Linked DNA regions of Astyanax mexicanus. The protein of the gene in region 1 interacts with the protein of each later gene in a pairwise test. Links are inferred from orthologs where the notes say so. Each region holds a gene or a part of one and is shown on either strand. Other genes may lie near its edges. The genes, in order: immt and pfdn1.

Region 1 (7,555 bases):
GGACCGTCTACAAACTACTCGACACAGCAAAAAGGCGAATGAAGATGGGCGGGGCAAATGCTTTATGCTTCATTATATGAAAGTGTAGTGTACTTTAGTGTTTTTAGCTGGTCACAAATGACAAGACTTCAGGAGTTCCTGACAATATTTTTTTATAATAATTGTTTTGTTAAAAACAATCTAAAAATATAAAGGTTACACTCATTTTTTGTTCAATTTGTAACTGTTTTTAAAAAACCTTTTTAAAAAATATTTCATAAAGTATTTCATTCTGATTTTGTGACAAAGTTTCAACTGAGTATATATTTTATCAAATAATCACTTGTAGCCCATTTTGCAAGTCTTACTGTCATTTGACCTGCAGTTCAACAGAGGGCTTTCAGGGTTTCTTTTCTGTTTTACTGTTGATAGTAATACTGTCATTGGTGGGTAGTAACCATTGGTTTGTTTAATTTTAGTTGAGTATACAGAACCGTAATTAAACCATGTAAGAATTGTCAAATGATAGTATTAAAAGGTTTACATTCTATTGTGACTACTTCTGAAATAAATATTATGAAATATAACTAATACCTCTTCACTTGCACAATTGTTTCAGCAGGTGGCACCAAAGTTGGACAATTATAAATGTTACTGTCTAAATATTTGAGTTGTATTTTTAACTAATTTTTGTTTAATGTTATTTTTTTTCTTCTAATAATTTTTTTATTTATCTGTTTCTTGCTGAATCTTTGTTGTAACAATATCAATTACTTCCAATACCTTGTTTACTTTGAAAAGCTCTTAGTGTTTTGCAAATGAGCCTTTATGTAAACCAAAGCAAAAATTTCTTGATGAAATCTAACGGTTGCTGAAAATACTGACTAGGTGTGGACTGCACACATCAAGTTATATCAAGTCTAACCAACATGACATACTACAACTATGATATTGGTCAATTTAACCATTGCTGATTTGTAGCAACAGTTTTTTGTGAATTAATTTCAATAGCTTTTGAACCGTTGAGGGTATCACAACAGAACAAGTTGTATTAGATCAAGTCCCACCCACGTGACATACTACAACTCTGATATTGGTCAATTTAACCCTTGCTGATTTGTAGCAACAGTTTTTTGTTAATTAATTTTAATAGCTTTTGAACCGTTAAGGTTATTGATACAGAACAAGTTGTATTAGATCAAGTCCCACCCACATGACATACTACAACTCTGATATTGGTCAAATTAATCCTTGTTCTGTTGTGATACCCTCAACGGTTCAAAAGCTATTGAAATTAATTCACAAAAAACTGTTGCTACAAATCAGCAAGGGTTAAATTGACCAATATCAGAGTTGTAGTATGTCATATGGGTGGGACTTGATCTAATACAACTTGTTCTGTTGTGATACCCTCAACGGTTCAAAAGCTATTGAAATTAATTCACAAAAAACCTGTTGCTACAAATCAGCAAGGGTTAATTTGACCAATATCAGAGTTGTAGTATGTCATGTGGGTGGGACTTGATCTAATACAACTTGTTCTGTTGTGATACCCTCAACGGTTCAAAAGCTATTGAAATTAATTCACAAAAAACCTGTTGCTACAAATCAGCAAGGGTTAATTTGACCAATATCAGAGTTGTAGTATGTCATGTGGGTGGGACTTGATCTAATACAACTTGTTCTGTTGTGATACCCTCAACGGTTCAAAAGCTATTGAAATTAATTCACAAAAAACCTGTTGCTACAAATCAGCAAGGGTTAAATTGACCAATATCAGAGTTGTAGTATGTCATGTGGGTGGGACTTGATCTAATACAACTTGTTCTGTTGTGATACCCTCAACGGTTCAAAAGCTATTGAAATTAATTCACAAAAAACCTGTTGCTACAAATCAGCAAGGGTTAATTTGACCAATATCAGAGTTGTAGTATGTCATGTGGGTGGGACTTGATCTAATACAACTTGTTCTGTTGTGATACCCTCAACGGTTCAAAAGCTATTGAAATTAATTCACAAAAAACCTGTTGCAACAAATCAGCAAGGGTTAATTTGACCAATATCAGAGTTGTAGTATGTCATGTGGGTGGGACTTGATCTAATACAACTTGTTCTGTTGTGATACCCTCAACGGTTCAAAAGCTATTGAAATTAATTCACAAAAAACTGTTGCTACAAATCAGCAAGGGTTAAATTGACCAATATCAGAGTTGTAGTATGTCATATGGGTGGGACTTGATCTAATACAACTTGTTCTGTTGTGATACCCTCAACGGTTCAAAAGCTATTGAAATTAATTCACAAAAAACTGTTGCTACAAATCAGCAAGGGTTAAATTGACCAATATCAGAGTTGTAGTATGTCATATGGGTGGGACTTGATCTAATACAACTTGTTCTGTTGTGATACCCTCAACAGTTCAAAAGCTATTGAAATTAATTCACAAAAAACTGTTGCTACAAATCAGCAAGGGTTAATTTGACCAATATCATAGTTGTAGTATGTCATGTTGGTTAGACTTGATATAACTTGATGTGTGCAGTCCACACCTAGTCAGTATTTTCAGCAACCGTTAGATTTCATCAAGAAATTTTTGCTTTGGTTTACATAAAGGCTCATTTGCAAAACACTAAGAGCTTTTCAAAGTAAACAAGGTATTGGAAGTAATTGATATTGTTACAACAAAGATTCAGCAAGAAACAGATAAATAAAAAAATTATTAGAAGAAAAAAAATAACATTAAACAAAAATTAGTTAAAAATACAACTCAAATATTTAGACAGTAACATTTATAATTGTCCAACTTTGGTGCCACCTGCTGAAACAATTGTGCAAGTGAAGAGGTATTAGTTATATTTCATAATATTTATTTCAGAAGTAGTCACAATAGAATGTAAACCTTTTAATACTATCATTTGACAATTCTTACATGGTTTAATTACGGTTCTGTATACTCAACTAAAATTAAACAAACCAATGGTTACTACCCACCAATGACAGTATTACTATCAACAGTAAAACAGAAAAAGAAACCCTGAAAGCCCTCTGTTGAACTGCAGGTCAAATGACAGTAAGACTTGCAAAATGGGCTACAAGTGATTATTTGATAAAATATATACTCAGTTGAAACTTTGTCACAAAATCAGAATGAAATACTTTATGAAATATTTTTTAAAAAGGTTTTTTAAAAACAGTTACAAATTGAACAAAAAATGAGTGTAACCTTTATATTTTTAGATTGTTTTTAACAAAACAATTATTATAAAAAAATATTGTCAGGAACTCCTGAAGTCTTGTCATTTGTGACCAGCTAAAAACACTAAAGTACACTACACTTTCATATAATGAAGCATAAAGCATTTGCCCCGCCCATCTTCATTCGCCTTTTTGCTGTGTCGAGTAGTTTGTAGACGGTCCCTTAGCTCTCGTGCAGGTCGCGGCAGCCCATAGACGACAATGTGTTCTGTGGTTTTCTAAAGGCAGATGTTTGAGAGGGGAAAGACGTTGTAGCTGCTTGCTTTGGATGTCAGCATATAAAATAAGCAAGTATTAACCATTTTGCACACACAGTTCAAAAGCTATTGAAGAAAGAAATCCGAATATGCGAATATGAAACCAACTTTACCGGAGTCTCCCCGACTATGGAATTCTCTTCCAACTGCAGTTAAGCTATCTCCCACTCTTCCCATATTTAAATCGAATCTTAAAACTCATCTATTCTCTCTTGCTTATGGTCTCTCTTCTGCTTAACATTATGTTTGATCTCACATACTATAGTACTGCTGAGTTGGAGCTCCACTGTAAATGTTGTACCTGTATTGTCTGTGTATTGTATATCTGTATCTTTGTACCAATAATTGTAAGCGTCTTTGGGTTTTAGAAAAGCGCAATATAAAAATAAAGTATTATCATTATTATTATTATATCTCAAAACTGCGATTCAGTGATAATCAGTATATCGCAAAACTATTCTCCAATTCACAGCGACTATGCTACTGAGAAAAAAAAGTAAGTAAATAGCAGGAATTATGGATTTGTGTCAGTTTCACACAATTTAAATACCAATATTCACCCCATGTTTACATTTGATTGAGCCGTTACTGTACTATGTCAAATTTGGGGGTGAGTTGAGAGTTGAATTCCCGCTGTTGCTGTTGTGTATGAACAGTCTTTTTTAATGAACTCTATGCCCCTATGGGCTATTAAATCTGTATTTCTGAATGCTGGGGGTAAATGGAGGTGGGCTAATCGAGAACAGTTTTGTTCTCGTAATGTTTCACTACACCCCAAGTCTATTTCACTCCGGATTTCTTCTTCAATGTGTTTAATAATACAGAAGGATATTATTTTAAAAATTCTCTAAAGTGACATGAACCCTTGACTACCCCACCCCACCCCACCCCACCCCAGCAGCTGGTCGTGCCAAGTGCGCATGCGCGGCCTCTCCGTCACTCGGCGAACGGCGCTGGGAGTGAGTGCGCAGTGCTACCGAGGGTTCACCACTTTTATAATGTTTTGCTGAGCCGTCTGATTGTTAAGACTGTCGCTTTAGACCGAGACGCGAAAGGAGGAAAGGCCACAATGCTGCGCGTGTGCTGGAAAGGTGCAAATGCAGCGGCGCGGGTAAGCTTTGCTGAAGGACCGCCGAGTCTATGATTAGCCGGAGAGCTAAACTCCCCAGAGCGGTCATTTAGTGACCCACACCGCAGGCCGGCCGGGTCTATCGGCTCTAATAACGTGTTATCAGACGCCTCTGTTTATACAGTTACTCGGTGCTCCCTGTAGTGTGTTATTTAAGGTGCAGCAGCGCTAAAACTCTGGATTTATGGTGATAAATTGCGTGTCATTTGAAGTGGCTAACTGTGTAGCTGCTAGCTGGGACACTTTGAGTTCTACGTAAACGGCGTAAGTCAAAGCGTGGAGGGGCGGTCGTCCGTGTTGGATTGACGGCTGATGTAGCAAATGAAATGTGAGATCGGCAGTAGAAACGAGTGCCTCAACCAATAGGGCGCGTTTCTTCTTCAGTGACGTGGATGTGGGCGTACCAAGTGTGATTCAAGTTTTCCGTCATCCATTCATGTGCATTAGGAACCGAGGAGACGTTGGTGCAGAGTTTATAGTTTGCTGCTGAAATTTAGTTTATTTCGCTTTAATCAGATATCAGACCTGTGATATCGAGTGCACAAGGAGCGCGCGAACCCGCGACTGAGTTTATTTCGCATTGAGGCGAATTGTTTTTATCCAATTTGAGGGCGTGACCTTGCCAAGTTCATTGGAGTTGAAGGGAAACCCCTGGCATATGGCTGATTTCTCAGATGTTCATCACATTTTTTTTACACATAATCACATGTTTTATCTTGTGCATGTTATATTTACACAAAGGGTGTAAGTAAGACTGGCTGATAAGGGAGCTCAAAAATATTCTCTCACAGTATTTAAAGACACTTTCACAGTACATGATAGAAATTACAGGGTTTGCATCCAGATTAAATTCATCAGTAGAAGCAAATTACTGTATGACATACAGTACCAGTCAAAATTTAGACATACATTCTCATTCATTGTTTGCTTTATTTAATTTCTACATTGTAGATTCAAAATAAAAACATGAAAACAATCAATGAATACATGTGGAATTGCATAGTGAACTAAACAGTGTTTGTCCTCTGCAATACTGACCTAAACCCATCTAAGATGGTGATTTGGGATGAGCTGGAGCTTCAGAGCATAAAGTAAAAGCAGAAACTATTGTTTAGCACCTTTAGACCTACAACACGCAGCACATTCAGACTTTCATCATAATCACTAGAAAAAGACACAGAAACACAGACAACACTCTAACTGTTTAAATTATAAATAGTGCGATAGTGTACATGGTTTTAATAATTAATCTAAATTGTTGAATTATATTCCATGGATTTTGTTTAGGGATTATTTAACTACACAAAAAGTTACTTATTCTGTAAGGTAGTAGTGATTTTAAGCTTCTTATATGATTATTGAGGTGGTGATTGAGATTTGAAGAGAGCAGTGTATTTGTTTTTATCTGTTGTATGTTACTGCACCAGACAGAATGGTTGCACACTTCCAGGCAGTTGTTTTCATGTGGCCACTAGGTGATGAGGATGTTTTTGCTAGATGTTTGCTGTGGTGTTGCTAGGTGGTTGCTGTGGTATCCCTGGTAGTTTCTAGAATGTTGCGAAATGGGTTGCTAAATGAGTGATATAGTGTTCATAGTGGTTGCTCTTTAGTTACTAGGCAGTTGCTATGGTGTATCACATGGTTGTGAGGGTGTTGCACAGTGGTCACTGTGTTATCCCATGTGGATAGTTTGGTGTTAGTATTGTATTCTTACATGATCAGTTGCTCCCACCATCACCCAGTTGATTATCATTGGTGATTACACATCTGTTCTTGTTTATGGGCTCTGATTGGAGTTGCTGTCAATTTGTGGATAATGTTTTTTTTTTTTTTTTTTGTCTTCTCAGAATTGCCTCTGTGGTAAGGTACCAGTCCACCCTCTGCAGCACTGCCGCCGCTACACCTCAGCTGGAAACTCAGGGTATGAATTGACTGATTAAATAAAAAAAAATGCTTAGCTACAAATAAAGTGTTTGGATACAGATTTACCATACAGATTATCTCTAGCACACTAACCTGCCATTGTTATATTATGACTCTCTAAATATAATTTCATTTTAAATGTGATGCATTTTCTCTTGGGTCGGTCTATGGCAGGTCAGCTGCAGGAAAGATTGTGGCTGCTAGTATCCTAACAGTCGGTGGAGGTCTAGGTGGTACAATCCTGTACGCTAAATGGGACCCTAAATTCAGAGCAAATGTTGAGAAGAGCGTTCCATATTCTGACCAGCTTTTTGAGATGGCGCTTGGTCCCCCTCCACCACCGTTTATCCCAATGCAAAAGAAACCGGTAAGAGGAAAACCTGTTTAATTCAGATGTCTCATCCACTGTGCTTTGTATGTTTACAGACTGTCTGTCAGGCTTTAGATAGAGTCTATCTAGGTATATTTTGTTTATTGTTTTTAAATGCCGTTCTCTATGTATTTTAGGTGAAGGCTGAACCACTGCAGATCTCTTCAGTGTCTGAAGCCTCAAAGGACTCAAAGCAACCCAAAGCAAAAAGCAAAGCTAAAGAGAAGCAGCCAGAGCCAGCACCTGTGGATCCCAAACCTGCAGTAGAGGAAGCCCCAGCTCTGCCTCCACAGACCATTGAGGGTGAGTTTACATAATTCTGGATGATCTAATGGACTAGAAACATGCAACATGTTTTTTTCCTTGAATAGGTGGGTTTATCCAATAGACCTTTATCGGTCTTACGGGGGTTGTGTATCCTGCAGGCCCTTGTGATGTCTTGTAAAACTAAGCATATTATTAGGGTTTTTGTTAACAGCTTTTACTCTTCTGGGAAGGCTTTTACATTAGATCAGGGTGCTGATTTCTCTGTTGTAACAGACTTACTAAACCTTACAGTTAACACATTCAACAGAGTTAAGTCTGGCCCTCAGTCCAGCATTGCCCTTACCTGCGCTTGATGCATACTATGAAGACTGCAAG
Region 2 (8,382 bases), on another chromosome or scaffold:
AGAAATGTTGTAGTTTATAGAATAAAACCACAATGTTCATTTTATTCAAACATATACCTATAAATAGCAAAATCAGAAAAACTGATTCAGAAACTGAAGTGGTCTCTTAATTTTTTACAGAGGTGTATTCTGTAATGTATTACACTTGCTAGTAGTTAGTTAAGTTAAGTAAATGTAGTATTTCGTAATGTAAGGGCCTTTGACTTACCTTGACCTACTTTTTCTCCACAGTTGCATTTTCCACCAAGCCTAAGGACTCCTCTGCGATTCCCATCCCACCGAACAGAAGAAGAGGCAAGAAGAAGAAGAACCCCTGTTTGAGGAAAAAGTACAGAGATTATTGCGTTCATGGAGTCTGTCAGTACTTGGAGACACTAAATCACACAGCATGCATGTAAGTTCCTCCTAGTTATATACACCTGATGTCTGCCCTTTTAATAATCTTTGGTAGAAAACTTGCACATGTAATGGTTAAACCAATAAGGTCTTACCTTTGGACTGTAATGCAATTTGCATGGCTTTCTGTGTAACTGCACAGTAATTCCCATTTGCATGCTGTAGATCTCACAGAGCATTTAGTCCCTGTGTTTTTTGCTTGTATGTATTTAAACTTTGAATGTGTTCTTCTTGCAGATGTGAGACAGACTACTCGGGCGAGAGGTGTCACATATTCACTCTGCCTGTTGGTGCAGAAGTGAAAGGCTACAATCAGACTGCAGCTTTGGCTGCAATAGCAGTGGTCCTGTCTTTGATGTGCCTCACATTCATTGGCATTTTGCTGGCTTTCAGGTTAGTAGATGTTATACATACCTTGGGCTAGGGGTGTGCCATATCGAACATTTTTGACACAATAAAGAAAATCTTAATATTGTGATAATTGCGATATTCTTGCGAGCAGTATAGTTTGTATTTGTTTTGCTATTTATTGTATTTACTGTATTTTGTGTATGTTGCACTTTGTGTGTGTGTACTAAATATGCTGAGTTTTAGTTTAAGTTTTGGTTGTTACACAATTATAATTATATACAAATTCAGGGTTTTTGTATGTTATGGTTTATGAAATGGACAAACATTTATAGATTTTTTTCAACTGAATGTAAGAAACGTCTACATTTATTCTCATTAAAACTAATTTAAAAATACCTCACTATAAATACCCTGCAATATTGTGATATTATTTTAGGGCCATATCGCCCACCCCTACCTTGGACACATTTGCATTTGCATACACTGTTTTTGTTTTGCAAAACATACTAACAATACTGCATGTATTTTTCGCAGGTGTCATAAAAAAGGTGAAATAGAGACAGAAAGTGAGGAGAAGATCAAACTTGAGGCAGCGAGTGTACAATAGTGCTGATGAAGAAGGGTGAGCATTGTAATATATAATGATGAAAAATATAACTTTTTTTGTGTGCATTCTGTGTTGAATAAAGGCCAAAAAAATAACCACTACAAATGTATCATTATTATTATTATTATTATGTTCTGTATTAATTATTAACAATCAGTTACAATTGTTTTTTTTCCTGCAGGTGATCATACTGATGGCAAGACAGATGGAGAGAACTGGTCAGTGGTAACAGAGCACTTTTGGACATGCGGAGAACAGTTGGTTTGTTTCTGTTTCTTCCACTGTTAATTAATGTGGCTCAGTCCATCAGATATTAAAGCTGGAACTGTAATTATTTTATAAATAAATAATAACTGCGGTGATAATGGTAATTCGCTAAATACAGCAGTAATCATCAAATGACTGTAGTATGACCGTAATGCGGTAACAGTCACAGCCCTAGTTGCTCCCAAATTCTCAATTCTTGGAGCACACTCCTCCCCAGAGAGGTATGGTGAGATGCCTCACTCCTGATAAATCAACCTGTGTGTAATACAAATGAAGAAAGTCAATGAATGTAGCTTTGTGTTTGTGTTGTATGTATTGTTTCCCTTCTATTTATTTTTATAACTTAAAACGTTTTTTATTTATCTATTTATTTAGTTAAATAATCATTGTGTGTAAGTACTAAGTGCACTGCCGGTCTATGTAGTAGTTTGTAAATGGACAGTGATCTAATTCTTTTTCTGTTCTTTTGGCTTTGTGATTCAACATTTAAGAGTTTTCAGAGTCACAAAGCATAACTGCTACTGCTCATTCTGAAATGTTAAGAAATATTTATTGTATTTGTAATTCCAGCACACAACAGAAGTAAACAAAAGAACTTTCACTGTCCAAATACTTACACTACTGTATTTGTTTTACTGTATTTATTTGTAATTTTTTTTACATTTGTCTAATTTATCTTGTGAATACTGTGAAAAAATAAAATGTGTGTTCTTTTTAGACTTTGTACATAAGTTGTTTTGTTCTGCAGTATTATTTTTTTTTATGTTTCCTAAATTATTAATAAACAAATAAATAAATCAGGTAAAATGAAAGATATTAAAGTTGAAAATGTGTTTTATACTGACTACAACATACCACAAATATGTGTGAACATTTTTGTAGCTTATACACAGTCACTGACTAAGAGCTTGTCACTAGATGCTGCATTAATTAGTCAGTAGCGGTTAGATGTGTTGGTTCTGGTTCTCATACAGCAGTTATCAGGACCTGAACTCGTCTAGATTAGAGATGCATGAATACTGATACTGGCATTGGACATCTGTCCAATACAATGCTAAGTTGCTTGTAATGGCAAATGCGGCTCAGACAGCAAAAACTACACACAGTACCAGTCAGAAGTGTGGACACACTTTACCATTCAATGTTTTTTATTTATTTTCCCTTTATTGTAAATGAATACTGAAGAAATCCAGATTATGAAGAAACACATAAGGAATCATGTAGTAAAATTAAACATGTTAAAAATGTAAAGCATTTCAGAACTTTACAACTGATGCTCTCAAACACATTAATTTACTCTGGACAAGTTCAGCACAGCTGTTAACTGAAATCCATTCAAGGTGACTCTACTTTATAAAGCTGACTGAGGAAATCCAGCCAATATGTGCAAAGCTTTCATCTAAACAAGAGGTGTCTTCTAAAAGAAACTAAAATACAAAACATATTCTGGTTTGTTTAACATGTTTTGTTTAATAAACAAATCATAGTTTGGATTACTTTAATCTACAATTCAGAACAATTTAAACTCAATTTAAGGTGTGTCCTCTGGTACAGTATATATGTACAATTACGACACATACAGACAACCACAACAACGTCTATTACACAATTTCATCAAAGAACATTAGTCTCTGTCTGCAATGTCTGACTCCCAACCGCGTGTGTGATGTTGAGTGAAGAAGACTCGGGTTGCCAGATACGCTCATTAAGATACACCAAAAGGCTGTGCCTCCCTAAACCCTCAAATTGGCAAATAAAAAACACAATAAAACAGTCATTTCTGATTGTGGAAGCTCTCCACTCTTCCTTCAGACTCTGCTCCCTTGATTAAAAAATTAAATGTAAAGTTTACTGATGACCAGTGATGGTTTGGAGAGTCATGTCATCTGCTGGTGTTGATCCACTGTGTTTATATCAAGTCTAAAGTCAGTGCAGTGTTTTCCAGAAAATCTTACAGCACTTCATGCTTCCCTCTGCTGACAACTTTTATAGAGATGCGGATTTCATTTTTCAGCAGGACTTGGCACACTGCCCACACTGCCAAAAGTACCAATTTGCCTTACACATTGGCGTAGGAACCGGGGGGGATGGGTGGGACATGTCCCACCCAATATTAGAAACAGGTCGATTTGTCCCCCCCAAAAATTATATCGTTTCACTCAGATCAGCTGTACTATTAATGAGGAGACAGACCGGACCAATCACGGAGCCTGTTCAGGTATTAAGTCCCGCCTCTCAGTAGATTGGCAGAAACAGCCAATCTTGCTGGTTTTGCGGCGCGCGGAGGAGAGGCAGTTTGCTGTTGGGGAAGCCCCGCCCCCTCGCTGTGAGATTTAGCAGCGGGATCGGGACGCAGCAGCTTCAGCTGATTTTAAAACAGAGATGGATATACGGAGATTTTACTAAAAGAAAGGTAACGATAGGCTAACCACTTCAACTGTGATGATATGTTTCTGATAGCTGGTTAAAAATACACGTCTCTGAATCAGCACACAGTTTAAACCCACTGTGATTAATGAACTGCAGCTGTGTTAGTGAGTTAGCTTAACTTTGGAATGAGCTAGATTGGGAGTCAGGGTTAAAGAAAAAAAACTATATATATAATGTTCAACTTGCCCTGTACCTGATCAGCTATTCACTATTTCATTTTCAAACTTTGTTTATTAATTTAGGATTGCAGGACTTACTGTGAGCTATAATGAACGAAAATTAATTTAGCTAACTAGTTATCTAGAAGCTGCATGTAGTGGATAGCCAGAATTTAGTACAGTACTTTACGTTTGTAGTTTAAAGCAGTTTCTTAACCCTGGTCACTGCCCCCAAAATAGTGTTTTCCACCTGATCCAGCTGATCAGCTAATAAACAGTAATTTACTGAGTTTACCTGTTAAAACCCTTTAGCCCTCTATGGATCCTAAATTAATCATGTATATCCAGCAGTTTATTAGACACATCATTCCACCACTTACTCTATGAAATGCCTTTAAAGCAGAGTAAGCTGTAGAATATGCAGAATACACAACACAGAACAGTGTTAATATGCAGTAGAATATGTAAGAACAGGGTTGAGAAACACAGCTGTAACATGACTTCTGTTATGCGCAGGAGAAAATGTAAATATACGACAGAATTGACATGCCAATACATAATAATAATAATAATAACCAAATCTGTATTATTTTAAATATTAGGTGATAACTGATCATTATTGTCATATGTATATAATTCAGACATTGCATGCATATTTTTTTCTAACCACAGTAACTGTAACATGGAGTAACATGTTTAGATTGTAAAATCACCTTATAATAATAATTTACTTTTAATTAAAAGTAAATTCCACAAATGTTGTTCTAGGAAACTATAGAGTGGGCTTAGGTTCATATTGGCAAATGTGTCCCCCCCCCAATATCAAGCCCGCTCCTACGCCCTTGGCCTTACATAATATTCTAATTTTCTGAGACTTTGATTTTTGGGTTTTTATTGGCTGTGAGCCATAATCATCAACAATAAAATAAATAAAAACTTAAAATAGACCACTCTATGTGTAATACATCTATATAAAATATGAGTTTCACATTTTAAACTGAATTACTGAAATAAAGTAACTTTTCAATGGTATTGTAATGATATCTTAACTCTTCTCACAAAAAAGCCAAAGCAGCCTTCTGCTTCACCTTGGCAACCCGGAGTGGACTGTCTTCAGTACGCATGCGCAGACACTCGCCCTGCCTTCTGCAACATGGCAGCCCCCGTAGACCTAGAGCTGAAGAAGGTAAAGCGTGGCTGATGATCGCTGTTACGGTAGCTGTGGGTTTCTGAGCTGGGATTATTCTGTGTGATCGGGGTGTGAAACAGCTAAAGCGGGTTCTGATCAGGGTCTCTGATTAAACAGCACAGATATAAACTGAATAAAGCGGAGTGGCTAACAGTAGCTAATGCTACACAATACACAGCTCCGGGTTTATTATAGCTATTTACTTGGTTATTTAACGATGTATTATTGGTATTAGCCTCACTACTACCTAACAGTTTATAGAGGCTGTTATCCAGACACAGATTCCAGTTTAGGATTATTTGGATGTAGGATATGACCTTGGCTAGGTTTTAGCTAGCCACTGTAGCTAAAATAAATCCTTCCAATAATGCTGAGGCAAGGCAGGTTTATTTATACAGCGCATTTCACACACAATGGCAACTCAAAAAAGCTTTACATGAAGAAAAAAAAAACATTAAAACATCCCTGAGCTGTAGCACCTCAAACTTTTTTTGCAATGAATATAGTGCCAGTTAAAAAAACCAAAAGCAAAGAAATAAACAGTAAGAACCAAAAGAGAAAATATTTTGCAATAAAGTTGCATTCATTTCATTTTGAATAGTTTGGTCTAGGAGTGGGTGATATGACCCAAAAATAATATTATGATATTTCAGAGTATACAATATTCTTGGCGATATGGCACTGAATAAAAAAAAATAAGAATAGACTACTGCAACAAAATATGATATGGCACACCCCTAACTGATATATTAAAAAATAAAATAATTGTATCAGATTTGTAACAAAAGTAAAAAATACAGAATGTCATGATACTAATAATACACTCCATATAGCTCCATATATCCAGGACTGAAGTAAAATAAATATTACTGGACAGATATAATCTGCCTCTAGTAGATATATAATGGGAAATAAGACCAGTGTAAATTTTTCTTTAGCTAACAACAGCAAAAAAAAAAAATAGTACTCTGATGTGATAATTAGGGGTGGGTGATATGACACAATATTTCGGGGTATAATATACGATATAATATACGATATTAAAAAATGTTGGCCATATTATTGCGTACGATATGATACGTCACACCCCTAGTTGGAGCTCTGAATCTACACTAACAACGCTTATAGATAAAAGGTGCTTCCCAAAAATACCTAATATTAATATACAAATTACTATTATACAGTGCAGGCTATAAAATACACTACAAACAAGATTACTTATTTTAATGTCATTAAAGTTTAATGCAAACTGTACACATAAAACCTACTTTTGAATCAACATGAAATTGATGTGTATAAATAAATCACTTCTGACGTGGGTGACCAGTATTGTTTCAGTACATTAGCAATGGAAAAATGAATGTTAATGTTCAACATCCTTTTGCTATCTGAGTGGCTATTTGGTTTGTTGTCTAAATACTGGGTTTAGTAAGAGAAATATAGACTATTTGGGCTAATAAAGTCTTGCTCAATTGCTTAAGTGGATATGCAAAGAGGTGGTTATCAAAAACTAAAGAGCTGAATGTAGCATGTGGAGCACACAATGCCCGGATCTGGTGTGGACCATATAATAAAATATTTTTATAAATACTTAGTATTTAATTTTTATGCTTTTGTTTGCTTTGATTAGTTGTTACACATGGAAAAAAGAAAAAGTTCTGTAAAGATGTGTAAAATATCCTCTTGAAAAAAAAAATTACATGGTTTATCACAGTAGTGTTAAAATATTTGTTTTGCCTTTATGTAAATTGCCATTCAGTAGTATTAAAAATAACAATAAAAAGCAAGCAAATTTATACTGTGTTTACAAGCAAAAATACACTTATTGCAGAGATAAATGCTTTAAAATGATGTGGTAAGGTACCTAAAACGCTTGTAAAAAGTTCTGTATATTTATATTTTAAAGCATACTGTATATAACTACACTGTGTATGTTTTTGTCATGTTAAAGAGTTTTGTTGTTCTGAATTTATGTTTATAGATACTTCATTAATAGATATTGTGTTGTGTGTTGTGCTCTAGGCCTTTGCTGAACTGCAAGCTAAAATGATTGATACGCAGCAAAAAGTCAAGATCGCCGACCTGCAGATCGAGCAGTTGAGTCGCATGAAGAAGCACTCCAATCTGACACATGTGGAGATAACCTCCCTTCCTGACAGCACTCGGATGTATGAAGGAGTCGGGCGCATGTACGTATCTCAGAAATTATCTTTAGATTAGGTAATATATGGTGATTTTCGGTTTTAAATCCTATATTACCTGTCCAAAATGTCCAGACCTTAGATCTCTTTTAATTAGTTAATTCAATGACAGCACTCACAGCTTAAATCATCTTCACAGCTTGTAGAAGCTTTTATTGCAATTTTATAGCTCCCTATGAGTAATCTTGATTTCTGAAGAAACCTAGAGCATATTGGCTACGTTTAATTTACAAGCCACGTTCCTCAAATCAGATTTTCTTGATGGTTTACATTTATAAATGTAAGTGGTCTGTATCTGTGTGTAATGTGAACGAATCTGTCCCTGAAACCTCTCACATGCGCAGATTGATACGAGTATAAACGTCTTCTTCTTCACCAACAACAAAAAATGTCATATTTAAGAGATGACTCGTAAATGTGTAAAGGGAAATGGATGCGTTAGCAGCTCATATGTGGAGCATCTTTTGCTGGAGTGGAGAAACAGCAAACAGCTGGTCTGAAGTTCATGCTCAGGTCGAGGAGGTGAAAAAAGGCCAGGCGGTTTGCTTTTGCTGTTTTTGCAGCTATAGCTGTACAGCTGCACCAAGAGATGTAGTGTGGGTACGAGAGAGAAGCATGTAGTGCTAATGCTAATGTGTAAAAGCAAAAAGACGCATGAATTCTGATTTGACATATTCCATGGATATTTGCATGTCCATGGATCGAATTTGTATCTGATTTAGGACCATATATGAAAGTGTCTCAAATATGATTTGAGACGTTTACACAGCCATGAAAAAAATA

Evidence for each region.
Region 2: the proteins of immt (region 1) and pfdn1 interact in a two-hybrid assay, tested with the Homo sapiens proteins (2 studies listed by BioGRID and IntAct). The link is inferred for Astyanax mexicanus from reciprocal best matches to the Homo sapiens genes IMMT and PFDN1.

Annotation. Positions count from the first base shown.
Region 1 is NC_064417.1:17,878,751-17,886,305, forward strand, and holds the start of immt (MICOS complex subunit MIC60), read left to right. Parts: upstream 1-4,413; 5' UTR 4,414-4,560; coding exon 4,561-4,602; intron 4,603-6,467; coding exon 6,468-6,541; intron 6,542-6,717; coding exon 6,718-6,910; intron 6,911-7,050; coding exon 7,051-7,216; intron 7,217-7,555. UniProt on the Homo sapiens protein: Component of the MICOS complex, a large protein complex of the mitochondrial inner membrane that plays crucial roles in the maintenance of crista junctions, inner membrane architecture, and formation of contact sites to the outer membrane.
Region 2 is NC_064424.1:11,021,871-11,030,252, reverse strand, and holds the start of pfdn1 (prefoldin subunit 1), read left to right. Parts: upstream 1-5,288; 5' UTR 5,289-5,362; coding exon 5,363-5,395; intron 5,396-7,420; coding exon 7,421-7,587; intron 7,588-8,382. Other genes in the region: hbegfb (heparin-binding EGF-like growth factor b), read left to right, coding at 232-394, 634-789, 1,282-1,354. UniProt on the Homo sapiens protein: Binds specifically to cytosolic chaperonin (c-CPN) and transfers target proteins to it. Binds to nascent polypeptide chain and promotes folding in an environment in which there are many competing pathways for nonnative proteins.